Linked DNA regions of Ovis aries. The protein of the gene in region 2 interacts with the protein of the main gene of each other region in a pairwise test. Links are inferred from orthologs where the notes say so. Each region holds a gene or a part of one and is shown on either strand. Other genes may lie near its edges.

Evidence for each region.
Region 1: the proteins of ANKS1A (region 2) and DOK3 interact in a two-hybrid assay, tested with the Homo sapiens proteins (2 studies listed by BioGRID and IntAct). The link is inferred for Ovis aries from reciprocal best matches to the Homo sapiens genes ANKS1A and DOK3.

What each region holds. Positions count from the first base shown.
Region 1 is NC_056058.1:36,712,010-36,716,613, forward strand, and holds the start of DOK3 (docking protein 3), read right to left. Parts: upstream 2,857-4,604; 5' UTR 2,226-2,856; coding exon 1,968-2,225; intron 649-1,967; coding exon 328-648; intron 1-327. Other genes in the region: probable ATP-dependent RNA helicase DDX41, read right to left, coding at 4,283-4,419, 4,595-4,604. UniProt on the Homo sapiens protein: DOK proteins are enzymatically inert adaptor or scaffolding proteins. They provide a docking platform for the assembly of multimolecular signaling complexes. DOK3 is a negative regulator of JNK signaling in B-cells through interaction with INPP5D/SHIP1.
Region 2 is NC_056073.1:9,105,438-9,109,241, reverse strand, and holds part of ANKS1A (ankyrin repeat and SAM domain-containing protein 1A), read right to left. Parts: intron 2,754-3,804; coding exon 2,557-2,753; intron 1-2,556. UniProt on the Homo sapiens protein: Regulator of different signaling pathways. Regulates EPHA8 receptor tyrosine kinase signaling to control cell migration and neurite retraction.

The DNA.
Region 1 (4,604 bases), on a different chromosome or scaffold from region 2:
CCCATGCTGCTTCCTCTTTTCAGGAGCCTTCTCAGACCGGTGTTGAGGATGCTCTTTCTTCAGATCTTTGCCTGGTGGGTTATTTGCCCTCTCCTGAGAAGCCTTCCTGGACCATCCTGTCTAACATCCCCCCATTCACTCATGGTCCCACTCAGCCTCTCACATTCTCCATAGCATGCATGGCAATCTGAGATTTGTTCTCTGGGCTTCTGGGCTGTATCCCAGGCTTCTAGGTGCTTGCCGAGTGACGGGACGTGAACGAGCATGGAGATGAACAAGGTGTGGGTGAAATGGTCTTCCCGGCCCGCCCCTGGATGCCTTACCCACCTGCCCTGTGCTCACCGGGAAGGCCAGCTGACAGATGGGGCCCATCCATGCCTGGCGGTGCTCTGCGGCCAGCAGGTGGCTTCGCTCCGTGGTGGTGAGCAGGAAGGCACCTGTGTCCCGGGGGCAGCTCTCACCATCAGCCGGTAGCACAGAGACGCAGTCAGCCAGGCGGATGATCCTCCGTTCTCCCCGCCGGCCAGGCCCCGCAGACCTGTCACCTGCTGGCCCTAGGCCACCATCCCGGACCTCCCAGCTCTCTAGCCGGGCCACGCCCGAGGGGCCTCCTGCATAGAGTAGACCCCATACCTTCCGCCAGGACTTCTGCAGGAGATAAAAATGGGGGAGATGACCCTCAAGTGGCAGTTCCCAACCTGCAGCAGCTCAACCCCACACAAGCCATTCAGCCAGTGCTCCTGGCCACCCAGGGTGGCCTCCGCCTCCCCACTCCTCAGGCCACGTGAAAGCAAAGTGTTGTCCAGTCGTGTCCGACTCTTTGTGACCCCATGGACTGTAGCCCACCAGGCTCCTCTGGCCACAGGATTTTTCCAGGCAAGAATACTGGAGTGGGTTGCCATTTCCTTCTCCAGGGGATCTTCCTGGCCTAGGGGTTGAACCCAGGTCTCCTGCACTGCAGGCAGACTCCTTACTGTCTGAGTGGCTTTTTTACCATCTGAGCCACCAGGGAAGCCCAGGATGCCTTGCCAGAGCTGGCATGGCAAGGGGGACAGTCTGTACTTGGAGTCAGTCAGCACCCCCATCTACCCCCACAATTTCCCAACTGTGATCCCCATAAGCACTAGTATCTTCGTCTCTCAAAGGTCATGAGGGGGGGCTTCCCTGGTGGTCCAGTGGCTAGGACTCCATGCTCCCAGTGCAGGGGCCTGGGTTTGATCCCTGATCGGGGAACTGGATCCCACATGGGGCAAGTAAAACATCCTGCACGCCACCACTGAGACCCAGCATGGCCAAATAAATAATAAAATAAAATACTTAAAAAAACAAATGGTTATGAGAACGCACAAGGTTGGGGCTTCTACTGGGTACTATCTAGTGGCTAGAGCAGACCACCTGCACCCCTGCTTTGTCAGTGCCCCCACCGCCTGCAAAGAAAAGGTCAATTAGGCCATGGGGCAAGGGCTGGGGTGGGAGGGAGGCCTCGGTCTCATGATGGCAAGGAAGGAAACATGCAAATAATTCCGAGCAAAGGAAACAGACGGTTTATCTGCCTGGGCAGCAGCTGCGGCTGAGCTATGGGTGTGCAGGGCCCGCGACCTGAGGACAGGGCTGGGAAGAGCTGAGCCCTCTTGGGCAGGATGGAGCTCCACTTTTAGGGGCTCCTCCAGCTCAGCCTCCAGCCCTCTCAGGGGCCACAGTGCCACTGGTAGACGGGATGGAAGGCTGTTGGATTAGCCGCTCCCTCACCTCTGCTCTGCCCCATTGGTGGCATTACCAGCTCCCTGCTCTTGGCTTCCCACCTGTAAATGAGGCAGGGTCTCGCTGAGGCTGAACTTCTCCACACCCAGGTTGGACTCCCCACCCTGACGCCTACCCTCTTTCTCCCAATCCTAGTGGCCTGTCCGAGTCTGGGGCAGAGGCCCACTACCTGTCCTAGGCGGCCACCTGGCAGCCAGGGTCCCCACCTTGCCGAACTTGATGTGCTGCTGGTAGAGGATGCCGTCCTTGACGGGGGTCTCCAGAGGCTCCATGGCGCGGCCGGACCCAGGGCCGCCACTCCGAGGACCTGCAGAGACTGATGACGGGTAGGAGGGGAACTCCTCACACTTCCCCTTCTGGCCACTTCCCCCTCCCTCTGTCCAGAGCGGCAGCTGCAGGACTGGGGGAGGGGAGCCCTGCCTACACCATAAAGGAGCTAGAACAGGGTGGGGAGGGCATCCCATATTTCTCCCTTGGGGTTCCAGGTATCCCACTAGGGCCAGGCAGGGACCTCAGACCACCTGAGGGCAGATGATCCCTGCCTGTTCCGGTCAGCTGGGTGTGAGCTTCTGACCCCAGGCTGGCTCCCGAGTCATGAGCTCCGACCCCTCCCCCATCCTGGGGCAGTTGTGTACCCTGGGTCCTGGCATGCCCACAGCCTGGTCCCCACCTCAGGACCTTACTCTAGCCAGATGGGCAAACTCCTTGCCTTCCCATTCAAGAGTCCTAGTTGGTTGGCCTGTCTTTGTGCTGGAAAACAGTTCTAACAATCACTTGGTCCTCTCCATTTCACAGCTCCTGTCTGTTGCCAGCCTTGGCATCTTCCCATTGAACCATGGCCCCACCTGGGCCCATCAGGCCCTTTCTGCCATGCCCAAACAACCCATCCCTTCCCTTCCTAAACACTGCCTGGCTCCCAGTGCCCTCAGGTCTAGCTTGGACTCCTGGGCCCAGCACTCGAGGAGGATTCTCTCCTCTACCTCCCCACGCCTGGCCCCTTCAGGGCACCTCTCACCGTGCTCCTCAGGGCACTGGGCCTTCTCCCTCTGGCCTTCTTCCTCCAGGAGGCCTCCCTTGACCACCCCACGCTATCTTGAGAGCACAAAGGCCCCAGCCCTCATGGCACGGCCCCAGCCACGTGAGTGTGGCACGCCCCTGCAGAGTTCCCTGGAGATCTCACGTGCTTTTTTTTTTTTAAGCTTTGCTTCTTACTGGGACTCTTTCTAAGCCTTGCCTTGCTGGAGGCCAGTTATCTGAGCTCTGCATATGAATCTGAATTCTGGAGACAGCCTTGTGTCATTTATCCCGTGCCACTTCTAGGAAGCAATGTGTGAACAGGCCAAACACTGTTTGGGGGTCACATGTGGGTTGTGTAGCTTCTCAGGCAGGAAATCGAGGGCCTCATTCACCTGGCTTTGTGCCCATTATGGCCCAAGCAGCCCCAGACACCATGTCCTTTGCATTCTCATTGCCATTTCACCGATGAGGAAATCAACTCAGAAACATTAAGTAACTTGCCCAAGGCGACACACCAAGTAGCAAACATGGCTCGAGCAACGGCTGTCCTGCTGGGATAAGCGCGTGGCCTGCGCATGGAGTGTCTGGCGCAGAGGAGCTGCCACCAGGGCTCTTCTTCTATCGACCCCTAGCAAGAAATCCTGGCCCCTTTGCTAGCAGTCCCGAGACAGCAGCCTGCATTTATTCATGGCTGTTATTCATGGCTGATCCGTCTGTCCCACTCACTTGTGAACTTCCCAGAGGGCATCTGTCTGGCTCACCTGGGTCCTGAGCCCAACACATAGCTGGGTCAGTGGGTGCATGTGGCCTAGGTGGCAGTCCTATGGCATTTGCTGCCCACTTGGCAAACAGCAGAGGCCTTCCTACTGGGAGCCTGCGTGGGCAGGGGGCCTGAGACATGATGTCTCCAAAGGGCCTTAGGAGAAGCCCTGGGGAACTTTACACACTGACAGGAAGAGGGAGGCTGGGGCAGGCCTGGAGGTTATAACAGCCAACCAGAAAGACCAGAAACCCCAATCAACCATTTTCCTTTGGTCTATCAGGGTGGTCCTTCTCTGAGTCACAATAGAAGAAATTTACCCTAAGCCTCCACAGGAGGCCCCAGGCAATCAGCTCCTTTCACAGCTCAGTACCAGCAGGTTTTGGCAGTGGTGGTGGGAAATACCAAGGTCCAACCTCAGAAGGGCGCTGGTGGTCAGTGGGTGAGGCCTGCCCAGGGAGCACGGGGCAGACAAGGTGAAACACAGAGGCTGAGACCAGAAAGGCTTGTGCTTTAATGGCAGCTAGGGTAAAGGGGAGCAAAAATAGTAATTCTGGGGGGCATGGGGAGCAGGCAGCCAGGTCCAGCCTGGCCCAACCCAGGCCAGCTGAGCCGAGGTTGCTGTCTTCTTGTTCACAGGGCGGGTGTGTGTGTGTGTGTCTATGTGTGTGTGTTGGGGGGGCAGTGGTGGCGGCTGGAGCTCCAGGGACAGAGGCCCCTCGCGGAGGAGGGGTGGCAGCCAGCTCAGAAGTCCATGGAGCTGTGGGCCAGGTAGTCCTTGCGGCCGATGTTGCTAACCTGCTTCGTCTGCATGGCTTCAAGCTTGGGGCAGTCGGTGATCCGATGACCCAGGCCCCCACAGAAGGCACAGCCACGCTCTCCTGCGGGAATGGGGTACCGGGAGACGGAGGGTCAGCACGATGACAGGGCCAGTCTCCATACCCCAGATCTTGGGCACCCCCATCAGACCCCCAGTCCACCAAGGGGCAGCATCCACTTGTTCCGTGGTGTGCTCGACTGCCCCCACCAGACTAGGGTACTTCCACCCCGCGTCACCTCCAATCTC
Region 2 (3,804 bases):
CTACACAGTAAGTATTTTAGGCATTGCGGTCAGCTCTGCCATGCAGCCATCTAAGCAGCCATAGAGGATATGTAAATGAGTGGGTGCGGTTATGTTCTAAATACAACTTTATTCACAAAAACAGGCAGCTGTTTGTGGGCCTCAGTTCACTAGTCTCTACCCTTAAGCAAGAAACTCACTGAAGAAGAGATTATCAAGATCACGGCAGACAGTTTCAGGAACACACAGAACGATCTTTGGTGAAAGAAAGACGAAGAGCCACTGTCCCTGCTGGACTCTCAATGTCTTCATATTCCAAAGTCCTATTCATGCCTGAGAGCTCATGTTCCTACAGGGAAGGGAGCCGGCTTGCAGGCCCCTTCCTTGGCTTGTAGGTTAGTTCACTGTGTTGCTAGAACAAGAGTATTTCTAAATATCTGGGTGGAGGTGAATGTTGAAGTGACAGCCTCCAAGAAACCTGTAAGGAAAGACACTTTTCCCATTTTAGGAGCTGCCGCGTTAGTTAGCACTCAGCTCCGTGATCCCTCTGTTAAACACACTTTTCTGGCTGGTATTACATCTTGATAATCTGGTCATTCCCCTAGTCCCTGCCACCAGATGGGTGCCCAGTGGCAACAACTCCAACGCGGTCAAGCCAAGTAAAGCTATTTAGGTCGAATTTCCCACTAAGTCCACTTTCCCCACCCTCCTTGCTCCAGAAGTACAGGGACAAACCTGGTCCCAGTGACACCTTGTAAGGAGGGGAACAGCAAATGGAGCAGGCCCATAATCACACTAGTTATCCAACCAAGGGACACAATAACCGAGGAAAACCAGAATGAAGCAAAATAAAAGTGACTCGTCCTAGATGCCTCTTCAAGGCGAGAGACGCCTAGAAAGAACAGTCTGAAAGGTTTCTATGGAAGTGGTGATCACCAGGGACCCTGGAAGGAAAGAAAAGCATGAGTCTCTCTTTTCTACCATGAAAACTTTGGCTGAGGGGCTACAAGGCTGACTCATACATAACTATCTGCTATGTTTACAAGACAGGGAACAGTTCCTTGGCCACAGTTAATTATCAAGGGCCAGGAAGGCAGCACAGCCACAACATCCTCAAATAAAACTGGCAAAGGAGGCATCCCCAGTTTCTACTTAGCAGGACCACAGGAGGCTAGATTCCTAGAGTGGGATGAACAAAGAGCCCATGTAAGTCAGTGGCTGAGCCCACAGGAACTTGGTCATTCAAAGCTGACTTCAGCAACCCTGTGTTCTTCTTGCAAAGCCTCCAGCTCCCTCTAATGGGCATCACCGGTAAGTGCCACAGATGGCAGTGTCTTCTTCCACAGGTTGGATTGGCCTATTTGTACCTAACAGTGAAAGAAGTGAGAAAACAAACAAAAGCAAACCAGCTCTGTCTGCAGAAGCACTTTGTGAGTGGTGCCTGGCACACAAGCTTGCTTTGACCACCGACAAGGAGTTTATCACACTCCCTGGTAACACCCACTCTGGGGGTGCTGCCACAAGGTCGGCAGGCCTTTCCAAAATCCACGCGGAAATGCTGGGACAGGGCAGGGCCAGAAATCCAACAAAAGAGAACACCAAAACCATTTGGCCATTCCCAGGGCACTAATGAAAAGTCCGAGGATCGCCAAGCAGCCAAAGGATCGTCAAAATGGTCATAAGCCAGATTACCACCAAAGGGAAGGGCCAGCCTCTCCAACAGGAAGATGTAATATACACCTGAAAATATGCCCCAAGGTGGGACTATCACTGGAATCCCATTACAGCAGCGCCTGTTTATGAGGAGCACAGTGCTCAAAGCCTCAAACTGCGGCACTGCCAGAGCAGGGAGGAAGGGCCATGGGACCACTGACTCGGGCCTAGACTCACAGCAAAGCTCCAGGGGAGACAGCGGGGTAAGGAGTCTGGAGAACAATGTTCAAGGCTAGAAGAAGCAAGTACTACAGAAAGAACCAGTCAGATGGGAAGGTTGACCTTTTGAGGGAAAAATTCAGAGTTGTCCTCCTTCCACCATTTCAAAGCCTGCAGGGTTATAACTATGGGAAAAATGGGAAGGTATATGCTAACATATCTGCATCTGTTTAAGCCTTGCTACAACCCTGCCGAACACAGACTCTGTCCAAATCCAGTGGGTAACTTTTCAAGGGCAAATGGAAGGTCAACATGTACTCAGGGCAGACAGGAAGTTATTCAGTAAGCTCTTCCATCGATGGACCTGCTCTCTGGAAAGAAGCCAACAATACATAGCAAAGACACCAAACACGGAAGCAGCGCTAAGCCTAACACAAATAAAATGCTTCAATTTGCTCTAAGAACAATCGAGTAACAGAAAGATGCCAACGGGTTATACTGAAACTGAAAAACTAAAATTATACCTCAACATGACCTGCATAGTTAGACCCAACTAAGCAAGAGGGGGAAAGGCAGAGGGGGAGCCACCAGGAGAATAGGTGGAGGCGGCCTAGGCCTCTGAGATGCAGCTGGCACTGGGGGCCACACTTCCCTTCCCCCGTTCCCCAGCAGAGCAGAGGTGACAACAGAACCCGGGCCACATACAGGCCTCACTCCAGCAGCTTTCCCTCCGGCCGCCTCAGCCTCCCTGCTCACAGAGTCCCGGTCGGACGAGCGTCCGCTGGCCGTGCTATCCAGGGACTGGCAGGAGACAGCATTGTACAGCGCCTCATAGGGACCCTCCTCTTCTCTGTTGGTGTTAAAATCGATGATCAGTTCAGTCACTGCTTTCTCCAGGTCACCTAAAGAGGAGTGGGAAGGCAAGAATTGGTGAGAGGAGGACACAGTCTCGGACTTCCCACCACGGCAACTAGCCAAAGCCCCTCCAATCACCTGAACTTGACCAGCGTTAACCCAGAGCAGGAAAATAAATTATGGCTCTCTCCATGGACAAGACTAAATACAGAATTTCATCTGCACTATATACTCTGAGAACTGAACAAAATTTTCTCTAGTTCAAGATGGAACATTTGACATCAATGAAGGACATCTCCCAAGACTGTTATAAATTTCGAAATACCTCAATATCATGACAGCATGAACATAAACCAGAAAATATAGCAAAGTACAACGGAAAAAACTTCAGTAATTCCTTTACGTTCTTAACAGGAACCTCCATGTGCTCAAGCAAAACAGGATGGTGGAGTCTCTCTGAGATGGGGCTGCTGTGTGGCTGTTGAGACTCACTTGCTAGGTAACTACAAACCTCAGGGTGCCTGGGATCCAAATGTGTGCCTCTGTCTGCAAAGTAACCAGGGATCTGATTATAAACCGGGGATCTCTGGGTCACTTGCAAAGAGTCAAAACTGTAACTATAAAATCCTTGAAAGCTAAGAGCTTAGTGAACTACTAATCCCATTACCAGCAGATTATGAGGTCAAGAAAAAAAATGTGACTGGGGAGGGTTACAGGGACTCCACAGTAAAGATAGGCTGGGAAGCCCTGAACCCTTGTATCTCTGCTGTCCTCTGAAAAATCTCTTTCCTTTTTTAGTATGTGGCTTTGCTCTGTTTCTCTAGCCTTCCTCATTGTGATCTGCATCTGGGGGAGGTGTCAGCCTGTGTTCTGTCTTTCTCATCCATCAGACCTAGGATCCAAAAGGCCTGCTCAATCCATCTGAAGAGCTGGATCCTGGCTAATGATGGAGAGGCTGGACTGCCCACACTAGCACCCAGACCACATTTGTTGGACAAATGATACATTACTAAAACCTGCCATATATATAGCTACCAACCAGATGACACTCATTAAATATTTACTATGGGCCAGCTATATTCAAGGCACTACAGTGTA